Linked DNA regions of Oryctolagus cuniculus. The protein of the gene in region 1 interacts with the protein of each later gene in a biochemical or structural test. Links are inferred from orthologs where the notes say so. Each region holds a gene or a part of one and is shown on either strand. Other genes may lie near its edges.

Region 1 (3,645 bases):
GGGAAGAAGTGCAGTGGGTCTGGGGGTGTCATGGGGGCCCATTTCTGGGCTCCAAACACCCCATCTGCCTGTGAGTCCCAGTACAGCCCCCTCTCCGCTAGCCGGCTGGCCAGGGGAAGTGGATGGTTCCCCCGCATGCTAACTAGGCTGGCGGCTGAGTTTCCCGGGAAGACCTCACAGCTGGCCCAGTGGGGCAATGAACTCAGCATTATCCACCTCCTCAAGGGGCCTTTATTCCCGGCTTGGGGGGGCAAAGAAGGGGGGGCGCCATTGGGGGGGCCTGGCCAGGCCATCCTTGATGTGTTTCCTGAAGTCAGCTCTCTGGCTCTCGTTCTGGCCAGGGGCCTGAGTGCTGTCCCCTCTGCCAGAGATGGGGGCTCCGGAGGGAGGACATCTCCGAGTGGCCCCCGTCAGACTCCCTCTGCACTCGGAGGCCTGATGTACTTGCCTTGGGCATCTGCCTTCAGCCTGCTCTCCCCTTAGGTGTGGCCAGCTGCCTTTCCTCCCAGAAGGCTGTGGCTCTGAGCAGGGGAGGGGGCTTCTCGCCCTTCCTTGGCACCCTGGTGCCTAGTGCGGGGCCTGGCACAGAGCTGGCCTTCAGCGTGAGCCAGCGGAATAGAAATGGAATTGACACAGGCCAAGGAAGAACCATGAAGGGACTGGAAGGCTGGGAAGCCAGCCCTGGTGTGGGTCGAGGGGGCAGAACGGCTCAGTGGGAAGGGGAGACTGGTGTGGACCACGCTGGCTGAGAGCTTAGAGTCAGCTGCACCAGTCTGAGCAGTGGTTGTTTTGTTTTTTAAGATTTCCTAATGTATTTGAAAGGCAGTTACAGAGAGAAAGATCTTCGTACCCTGGTTCGCTCCTCAGATGGCCCATGGGACTGGGCAAGGCTGAAGCGAGGACCCTGGAGCTCTGTCTGGATCTCTCCTGTGGGTGTCAGGGCCCCAAGTACTCTGGCCATCTCTTGCTGCTTTCCTAGGAGCACTAGGGAGCTGGATCAGAAGCAGAGCAGCCAGGACTTGAACTGGTGCTCTGACGTGGGGTGTTCTTGTCTCAGGTGGCAGCTTCACCCGCTGCACCCCAACGCCAGCTCCTGAGCCCTGGTTTTGTCATCAGCTTTGTCACTCAGGGCAAGTCATCAGGCTTGGTTTCCCCCTCTGGGAAGTGGAGGTGTTCATTGCCCCTCCTTTATCACACAGTGGAGAGGATTAAAGAAGGTATGTGGAGGGAACTGGTTTACCAGTTGCCAGCACATACCGATACCACCATAGTAAGAAGTTGGCTGGTCGCATTCTCAATTGCTCCTTGGGGAATGAGGTAAGAAAATGGGATAGGAGAGGAAAGAGGCTGGGGGCAGGAGGTGGGAGTTAGGTCAGAGGTCCTGGATACAGAAACTTCACAGGTGGGCTGGGCTGAAGCCAGCTCCGAGAGGTCATGCCAGCTGTCCCCCTGCCTCTGCCCTCCAACTCCATCATCCTGAGCAATTCTCCAGTGCCTCTTGTGTCTGAAAACATCTTCTTAAAGTGCTCCCTGAGGTGTGAGCAGCCAGGGAGGCTGTGTCCTTGGAGAATGGAGGTGGAAGCAGGACTCTCGGCCCTGACCTGCCCAGCCCTGCCTCACCTTGCCCTCCTAGACCTGTGTGTCTCCACATTTCTGCAGACTGTGACAGTTCCGGTCTGGGGGCCTGCTGATGAGAGTTTGGGGTAGGTGGGGTGATGGGTCAAGGGACCAGCATCCTAGGAGGTTAGAAAAGACCAGCTCTGGGGGCCGGTGCTGTGGTGCAGAGAGTTCAGCCGCCTCCTGTGACACCAGCATCCCATGTGGGCACTGGTTCAAGTCCTGGCTGCTCCACTTGCAATCTATCTCTCTGCTAATGCGCCTGGCAAAGCAACAGAAGATGGCTCAAGTGTTTGGGCCCCTGCACCCACGAGGGAGATCCAGATGTAGTTCTGGGCTCCTGGATGTGTCCTGGCCCAACCCTGGCTGTTGCAGCCATCTCAAGGGTGAACCAGTGGATGGAAGATCTCCCCCACCCCCGCCCCATCTCTCTGTAACTATGGCTTTCAAATAAATAAATCTTCAAAAGAGAAAAACCAGCTGTAGGCCTTTTAAGTGGGAGTGGCGGGGAGATAAGAAGAAAACATGTCAAAGGCCTAAGTGACCCCCTCACGTTGCCAGGGGTGGGGCGGGGGAGGCCGATGTATGACCTGAGTGACTGCAAACAGCAAGGGCCTTGACCAGAGAGGCAGCCCGGGGTGGGGGAGGGCTGCCCCCTGCACAGATACATAGCATCCAATAGCAACCATTCCCCCAGGCCCAGGCTGTGGCTCAGGTCCGGCTGGATGGGGACCATACTGGCAGGAGGGGGAGCCTGGGGAGCTTCAGGGCCACAAAGCCAGCCTCCACCTTCACTGACACCCCCTCTCTTCTTTTCTTACCCCCAGCCCCTAAGACCTGCAGCCCCAAGCAGTTTGCCTGCAGAGACCAGATCACCTGCATCTCGAAGGGCTGGCGGTGTGATGGCGAGAGGGACTGCCCTGACGGATCTGATGAGGCCCCTGAGATTTGTAAGTGCCAGCCGGGGATCCCCGAGCCTTGGCCCTTTGCTGACTCCTCTCCCCTTGGCAGGTATCTGGGACGGTACAGCTGCTCTCCGGCTCGGCGTGGACCTTGCTCCGTGCTGTGTTTGTCCATGACACAGCTAAAACTGTCCTCTCCCCCTCTTCCAGGTGCCCGGTGTGCTGCATGGGGTGCTTAGAAAGGACACCTCTCACTTCTCCCCCAGCCAGCTGCCACACCCCCAAGGCTGCCAGGGGCTCTGTTCTGTGGGCTGACAGCTGTGCTGGAGGGAGGTGGCCTGGCTTCCCTTCCTTCTTCCCACCTGTGAGCCTCCCTGACCCCTGATAAGTGGCCCCAGGTCCTACCGGTCCCTTCTGTCTTTGGCTCCCAGGCCAAAGGCCACAGCTCTTGCTCAGCCTCTGTACCAGAAGCCCCACCCCTTATGCGCTTCCCGCCACCCGGCCTTCCCCTGCCCCCAATAAGTGGTGTAATCAGAGGCAGCTGTTTAAACTGGGAGAAAGGTCCCCACCCAGGCTTTCCCCTGCCAGTGGGGGGTGGAGGAATCTCTGGCAGGACCTCAGAGTCAGGGCAGCTGGCAAGGTCCTGGGGTCTCATCCTCCCAGCCACTCCCCCACATAGCTAATCTGGGCCAGGGTCTGGACGCCGCTGCATCCATAGGTCTGCGTCAGTGTCTCTGTTTTCTTTCTCGGGCTTCTTGCTGCCCTAGTCCCATCCCCTGTCCTCTCCCCACACCCCCACCCGTAATTATCAGCGGTAATTTTAGGGCCGGAAAGGGAGCCACTGGTTCCCTCAACCTCATTCCCACATGGTGCCCTGGAGGAAGGGGCTGGGGTGTTTGGCCTGGAGTCTCCTCCTGCCTAAGGCCACCGTCACCCCTCCACATTGCTTTCTTTTTTTTTTTTAAAGAGTTATTTTATTTACTTGAAAGGCAGAATTACACAGAGAGGAAGAGAGAGAAAGAGAGAAAGTCCATCCACTATTTCATTCCCCAAATGGCCACAACAGTCAGGGCTGGTCCAGGCTGAAGCCGGGAGCCTGGAACTCCATCCACATCTCCCACATGGG
Region 2 (3,645 bases), on another chromosome or scaffold:
AGCTCTCTGCTATGGCCTGGGAAAGCAGTGGAGGATGGCCCAAGTCCTAGGGCCCCTGCATCCACATGGGAGACCTGGATGGAGCTCCAGGCTCCTGGCTTTGGATCGGCCCAGCGCTGGCTACTACGGCCATTTTTTTTTCTTTTTTGACAGGCAGAGTGGACAGTGAGAGAGAGACAGAGAGAAAGGTCTTCCTTTTGCCGTTGGTTCACCCTCCAATGGCCGCCGTGGCCGGTGGGCTGCGGCCGGCGCACCGCGCTGATCCGATGGCAGGAGCCAGGTGCTTCTCCTGGTCTCCCATGGGGTGCAGGGCCCAAGCACTTGGGCCATCCTCCACTGCACTCCCGGGCCACAGCAGAGGGCTGGCCTGGAAGAGGGGCAACCGGGACAGAATCCAGCGCCCCGACCGGGACTAGAACCCGGTGTGCCAGCGCCGCTAGGTGGAGGATTAGCCTAGTGAGCCGTGGCGCCAGCTACTACGGCCATTTGGGGAGTGAACCAGTCAGTGGATGGAAGATCTTTCTGCCTTTCAACCAAAAAAAAAAAAAAAAAAAAAAAAAGCACAGAGAATCCAAAACAGTTTGCTTCCCCAGGTACCAGGGTGAAATAGGAGTTTCTGAAACTCATTTCCTACCGAGCACCTCAACTCTGTGTGCTACTACACTGCTCCCTCTTTTGCCCTCTGCCAAGCTGACTCCATTCCCTGGCAGCCCCAGAAGTCGAGAGCTCAGCATCGCGGTGCTCCGGTCATCAGTTCAGTGAGCACCTGGCCGTCTGTGCTTACAGGAAATCCTGCAGTGGGCGGAGCTTCCTGTGCAGACGCGGGATGGGGGCTGGGGGGGGGGACCTTCCGCGCTTTAGAATCCTGAGTTTAGCAGGCTTCGATCCTCCTCCGAGGGCTTTGTTCTCTGAGGCCCTCATCTGGCATCCCCAGGGAACTCACTCCTGGCTGGCTGCACCTGTCCTCCCAGCCGCCCCCGCCCCGCTTACCTGGCAGGCGTCATGCAGGTTCACCTGGGCCCCCCCACTCCGCGTGTCTCCAGCACACAGCATGTTGCCCGTGACGGTTCGGTTCTTCAGCTGCTGGGGCGTGCAGCGGCTGGAGGGGTACAGCCGGACGTGAGCCTCCTTCAGCTGCTCGGAGAAGACAGGCGAAACTGCAAAGACACCCGGGGGAAATGCCTGGTGGTTTTCAGGGAAGCGTAGCCAACGTTTCCTACAAGAGCTAACCAAGCGTTTACACCTGTTGGGTGGAGTCGCAAACCACTGCCAGGACTGTCGTTTGCACCCACAGCTGCCTCATGGCAGCGCTGTTTCTGGGCCAGACAGTAGGTGGTGGGGGTGGGAACATCACCCCAGGGGAGAACCACAGGCTCCCCCTGCTACCATCTCAGCTAAGCCTCATCTTGGAAGCAGACAGCCAGGCCCTTCTTCATCCCACCAGTGAGGAGACTGAGACTTGGAGCCGACTACTGTAGAAATTCATGTCCAGGCTTACGTAGGGTTTGAACTTGGGTCTGCACAAGGCCATCATCCCCCACCCCATAAGCCTCAACCACCTCGTGCTCTCTTAATGGGCACAGCGACCCCGTGTGGTAGAGAGGGCGGACGCAGGCGCTTGCTGCGCACGCGCACTGGGCCTGCCTGGTCGCCCTAGCAGACACAATGGGTGCGGGGCTTGCCGGCGCACTTACACTCCTCGTGTTTGCCATAGCCGGACAGCTCGCACTCTGTCCAGTCGGGCAGCTGCAGGCTGGCGTCGGGCAGGCAGACGAGGCGCACGGCCTGGCTCTCCTGGGCACAGGATCCTGAAGTGGATTTCAGCTTTAGCAGCGCTGGGGGCAATGGGAAGGGAGGAGGAAAAGGATGAGCCGGGGGCGGGGCGGGGAGGGGAGATTGGGGGGGTGGGGAGCGGCCTCCCCTCGGCTGGGGGTTGGATTGGGAAGGAGGAGGAGGAGCGTGTGTGGACACAGCCTGCACCGTGGGCATCGTACCGATGTCGTTGTCGTAGGTGCCTTCATCAAATCTCTCATGCAGGATGGGCTGTTCCACTTCGAATATCTGCTCCTCCTCTGCCGACACCAGGGGGTACGTTCTGCCCAGGATCACCCTAAGTTTCTGCTGTGGGAACCTGACGGAGGGACAGCCTCAGGAAGCCAGCTCCAGGCAGGTGCCCGGTGCCAAGACCTGGGACAGGAGACAAGACGGTCTCCTGGGGGAAGGGGCGGGTGCCGGGCCCACCTACCTCTCCAGGAAGCAGTGGGCAGCAGACAGAACCCAGCAGGAGTTGATCAGGATACCCCCGCACAGAAACCGCTCCCCGGGCGACCTCCTGTTGTTGGTGAAGATGGCCGCCTGCCAGGGGTGAGCGGTGATGTCGGTGAACAGCCCCCCTTTGATGCGGAACTGGGGCTGCTTGTCCTGTCGCAGGCCACAGGTGGCTGGGGAGGAAGGGATGAGAACGGAGGTGAGGGCTGTGGTGCCCAGCGCGGTCTTCATGGTGAGAAAAGTCAGTCTGCCACGCATCACGTGTGCCTTCCTGGAGGAGGAAGCCGCCAAGGGCCAGGGAACCCAGCTCGCACCCGCGTCTGGAGGACTCCAGCTCTCGGGGTGGGGGGCTTCCTCCCTCTAACTTGTTCCTGCAGCCGGGAGGGGCTGAGGCAGCTTCCTTCGGAGGGACGGCCACGCCCCTCCTCGTTCTCCACCTATGGAACCCTACCTGTCGTGCAAGGCACAGGTGAATTCCAGGTCTTCGCAAAGCTTTTGGAGTGAGCCTGGGGCTACGGTCCCTGAGGACCCACCATGAGTGCCCTAGGTTGCAAGTCCTCTGCCTTCCCATCCCCGGTCCACCCTGTGTTCCTTGAGGAACGTTGCAGGCCATCTGCAGGTTTGCGGGAGCTAAGGCCATCTCCCGAGATGGCCAGGAGAATGGGTGAAGGCGGCTTGTTAGCCAGGAGCCGCATCAGTGAGATGGGCCCGCGCCAGCCCTTACCGCACTGGGGCACGTCGCAGTACTCTATCACCAACTTGCGGTTCTTCAACACGTGGCACCAGGGCTTGGAGTCTCCGTCTGGGTTCCTGGAGGGTAAGGGAAGGAGGAGGTGGAAGTTTTCCATCGCAGCACAGGGAAGAGGACAAAGGCTCCGCAAACCAAACCTTTGGCCAGAAGCAGAACCGGGGACGGGCAGACCCCACCACGTTCTGCTCTCACAGGCGCCGGGAGCGCTTCTGGGAACGAACGCTTTCAGTCCGTAGAATCAAAGCAGTGGGGGAGGAGTGGACAGCTAAGGACGGAGTGGTTATGGCGGGCTGACCAGGAGCCCGGGGTCTTGGCTGGAACACTGCTGTGCCTTGCTTTTCACAGCAGGTGTGACTAGCAGGTGCACAGGCTCCTACCCGCCCGCCGGCTATTTTGTCAGCCCCCAGGCCCTGACTTCTCCCAGTGCACACCCCAGGCCACGCACCTGCAGTAATTATGCTTGCCCAGGCCCAGGGCCTCTGCGTTGCTCTGCCGCGCTGTGTACTTCTCGCCCACCAGGAGCATGGAATTCCACGGGAGGCACGAGGCACCCGACGTGGTGAGGCTGTGGGTGCCGCGGTACGCTTGCCCCTTTCCCAAGTAGCAGTTCCCATTTTTTTCTGGAA
Region 3 (3,645 bases), on another chromosome or scaffold:
CTGCCTTTCTCCCCCCGCCCCCCACGCTGGCCTGGCCTGAGGTTCTGAGGCCTGGGCCATGGGCCTGTGGCTCAGTTTTGTGTCTGGGAATCAACAATTTTTAAATCAGCACAGATTGAGTGAGCCTCAGATGAAAAATGTAGAAATTAAGACCTCTCCTGAGTTGAAGAGGGTGGTGCTTGGCTTCTCCAACCCCTTTGTTTGGGGTTCCTAACATCCGTACTTGGTGTTGAATCAGAGATGGACGGAGCAGCTAGATGAGTTGCTAACGCCATCAATCCGGGTATCAGTCACCGTGAGTGGAAGCTGGGAGACTGGCCCCCAGAGCCCGCCTGACCGGGGAACTCTGAAAGCATAGAAAGCTTACAAGTGGGGCCTCAGGCTGACAGGACCCCCCTGCCTTATTGCGGTGTGGAGCTGGGATGCAAACACACAGGTGAAGGGAAGTGAGAAGCCCCCTGCCCACTGCTCAGCACGTGGTCGGTGTCGGTGTCGATGCGGCCATCGCTTGGATTTCAATCGCCGCAAGCCCAGCCTTTTCACTGTGGAGTAGGAGGAGCACTGGATGTTGCATTCTTGAAGCCATGAGGTCATCTGCCCTTGGTCTTCAAGGCAACTGCAAACGGGAGCTGGTGTCCCAACCTGGGGAGGGAGGAAAGAGTGGGCCAGGGCCACTCCTTCTGGGTTTTGCGCTTGCTGAGTTCCCTGCGAAACCACTTTGCTTCCAGACCTGCAGCTGCCTCCCTGAGATGCGTTCAAAGGAGCTTGCATCACCCCTGTGCTTCGTCGTCTTTGGTTTTCCTCCTGGTGCCTATTTACTTTCATCTACTTGAAAGACAGAGCGAGAGCGCACGCTTGAGAGAGAGAGCAATCTTCCGTCTACTGTTTCACTCCCTAAATGCCAGCTGCAGCTGGGGCTGGGCCAGGCTGAAGCCAGGAGCCTGAAATCAATCCAGGTCTCCCACGTGGGTGGCAGGAACCCAAGTACTTGAGCCATCACCTGCTGCTTTCCAGGGTGCGGTTAGCAGGAACCTGGACTGGAAGCAGAGGAGCTGGAACTTGAACTGGCCCTCCAGTGTGGAATTCGGGTGTGCCAAAGGGATGGCTTAACCTGCTCATCACAAAGCCTGCCCATGCTTGGAACAGCTGTCCGCCAGCATTTTATCTCTGCAAGTAGGCTGGGAACCGGAATGATCACACGCAGAAATGTAGGAGGTTGGACTAGAACTTCAAGATCTTCTGAACCCAACCCGTTTTGTTTTATAGGTGGCCTGGGCAGGTTACAGCAGAGCCTACGTTTATAGAAATCATTGGTGGGGGCCTTGGATGGAAACCTAGATCACCTCGGTCTTGGATTTGCTTTTTTTCTGCCACAGAGCAAAGCAATGAGATACAAAAGTGTGCAATTTGCTCTGTGATGGGAGTGGAACTGAGCTCTGCTTTCATAGGTTTAGTCTGCTAAGCAAACAGCAAGAGCCTGCGTCTGACAGATCCACCGTAGGAGATCCAGTGTCAAAGGAAGCCCCTTGGAATGGGAATCCCACCCATATGTTTCTATTGAATTTCATGAAATGCAGTCCAGCTTCTATACTTCTCCCCTTCAAAGGTGCCTGCCTAGAAACATGGATTCAGAATCTTCTCCTTGATTTAATACATAACTGAGTGACCCCGCTGTGACTGCAGTATGACTTCCTCTTGTATCATTCACTTCAAATCCAGCTCCCTGCTAATGATCTGGGAAAGCGGCAGAAGATGGCCCCAAGTGCTTGGGCCCCTGCTACCTACATGGGAGACCCAGATGAAGCTCCTGGCTGTTGGCTTTGGCCCAGCTCAGCCCATTGCAGCCATGTGGGGAGTGAGCCAGTGGATGGAAGAGCTCTCTCTCTGTCTCTGTCTCCTTTTCTGTAGTCTGCCTTTCAAATAAATAAATAAATCTTTAACAATAAAGCAAAATGAAATCTGCCATTCCTGAACCCAACACACCCCTTTTGTGGCACATGCATATCTATCTCAAACGGGCAGGCACAAGTCTGAAAACAAATTATCATTTGGGGCTGGCTTTTTCTTTCTGAGCAATGGGCTTCCTTGCAGGTGTGTTTTCTCCGTTTAATGTAGGTGTATCGGGCTGAGGGGTGTGTGCTGTGTTGCCGGTGGGTGTTTTAAGAAAGTTTGTCCCACCCTCTTCAGGTGACGGGCATGTATGAGAGTTGGGTGCCGAAACTTGTGGCCGCCCTGTACAAGAGAGAACCAGACTCCAACGTCATTGTGGTGGACTGGCTGTTACGGGCCCAGCAGCACTACCCAGTGTCTGCAGGCTACACCAAGCTGGTGGGAAAGGATGTGGCCAGGTTTATCAACTGGATGGAGGTAAGAGTGGGAGACAGGGTGGGCTGTGTCCAGAGGTTTTGCTAGGGTGAGATACGAGGCTGGCCACGACCCTTTGCACTTAGCTGTAGGCCCTGGAGTAAATTCCCATCTTCACTGGGAGCACAGCCTTGTGTGTAAGCCTGAAGCAGCATTTGGAGAAGAATGAAAAGATTCCAAAGCCAGCAAATTGTCCTGCCCTGCCCTGTCCTTTGCTATTTTGTGCAGTGAATAGATCTGCTGAGACCAAGAACTAAGTGGGCAGAACAGAGAAAGAGCTTGTTACTTCAAAACAGAGGGAAGGAGGCACGCTGGGCCAAGTCCTTTCCGCCAGTTGGCCGGCACGTGGAGACTGTAGCCTGGCTTTGACTCCTGTTGGAGCAGCAACTGTTTTGACAACAATATTAGTAGTATTTATTCCTTAGGGTGGATTAAAGACTCAGATTCTTGCTGGTGCTGGGGGATGATGGGATTGAGCTGGAAGGACCATAGCCTGTTAATTAAGGAGGCTGTGCTGGGGGGTGAGGGGGGTGAGGCCTGAAACAGTGCATGGAAAATGAACTCTGAAGGGAAGTTGGTTGGGGAACAGAAAGTTTTTGAAATCCATGCATACAAGGGGCTTTTTAAAAGCTCATGGAAATGTGTACTATGAAGAAATGATGTGTGGATTTCAAAAATTGTTTGCACAAAAAAAAGTTATTCTCTAATTCTATTTTTTCCCCATAGACTGAGTAGTGTCTCTGACCTCCTTCCATTGTAAGTTATTCTTGGCTAACATTGGAGAGTCAAGTGGTGCAGTGTGTTTAGAAGAGTGAGTTGGGGGTTAAGTTCATGATCTTTGTACACGTCTACAGGGGTGTGTATGCACACACACACATACTCTACACAGACCTGCATATGCACACACACACACACATATTGTAAAGAAAATAATTTCCAACATATGAAAACACTTTCTGAGTTAAATTTAATGTTAAAGAAGAGAACATCCCAGCACTAGAAATACAGATCTCTCTTTCACTTGTAATAGAAAATTAAAATAAGTGAAATTGTGTTTCAGCGTTGCCTATATTTTGAGAATAGTGTCTATATGCATTGTCTATCTTTAGCTTTTAATCTTTGTTGAGGAATAACAACACTTCCTTTTTCCCCCTCTTCTCTTCCAAAGGAGGAATTTAACTACCCCCTGGACAATGTCCACCTCCTGGGCTATAGCCTGGGGGCTCACGCTGCTGGCATTGCTGGAAGTCTGACCAACAGGAAAGTCAACAGAATCACGGG

What was found.
Region 2: the proteins of LRP1 (region 1) and PLAT form a complex in vitro, tested with the Homo sapiens proteins (2 studies listed by BioGRID). The link is inferred for Oryctolagus cuniculus from reciprocal best matches to the Homo sapiens genes LRP1 and PLAT.
Region 3: the proteins of LRP1 (region 1) and LPL form a complex in vitro, tested with the Homo sapiens proteins (3 studies listed by BioGRID). The link is inferred for Oryctolagus cuniculus from reciprocal best matches to the Homo sapiens genes LRP1 and LPL.

What each region holds. Positions count from the first base shown.
Region 1 is NC_091442.1:59,783,436-59,787,080, forward strand, and holds part of LRP1 (prolow-density lipoprotein receptor-related protein 1), read left to right. Parts: intron 1-2,444; coding exon 2,445-2,567; intron 2,568-3,645. UniProt on the Homo sapiens protein: Endocytic receptor involved in endocytosis and in phagocytosis of apoptotic cells. Required for early embryonic development. Involved in cellular lipid homeostasis.
Region 2 is NC_091433.1:92,381,230-92,384,874, forward strand, and holds part of PLAT (tissue-type plasminogen activator precursor), read right to left. Parts: exon of another isoform or gene 3,640-3,645; coding exon 3,465-3,639; intron 3,079-3,464; coding exon 2,993-3,078; intron 2,442-2,992; coding exon 2,246-2,441; intron 2,132-2,245; coding exon 1,995-2,131; intron 1,836-1,994; coding exon 1,695-1,835; intron 1,158-1,694; coding exon 991-1,157; intron 1-990. UniProt on the Homo sapiens protein: Converts the abundant, but inactive, zymogen plasminogen to plasmin by hydrolyzing a single Arg-Val bond in plasminogen.
Region 3 is NC_091439.1:2,934,865-2,938,509, reverse strand, and holds part of LPL (lipoprotein lipase precursor), read left to right. Parts: intron 1-2,187; coding exon 2,188-2,367; intron 2,368-3,532; coding exon 3,533-3,644; intron 3,645-3,645. UniProt on the Homo sapiens protein: Key enzyme in triglyceride metabolism.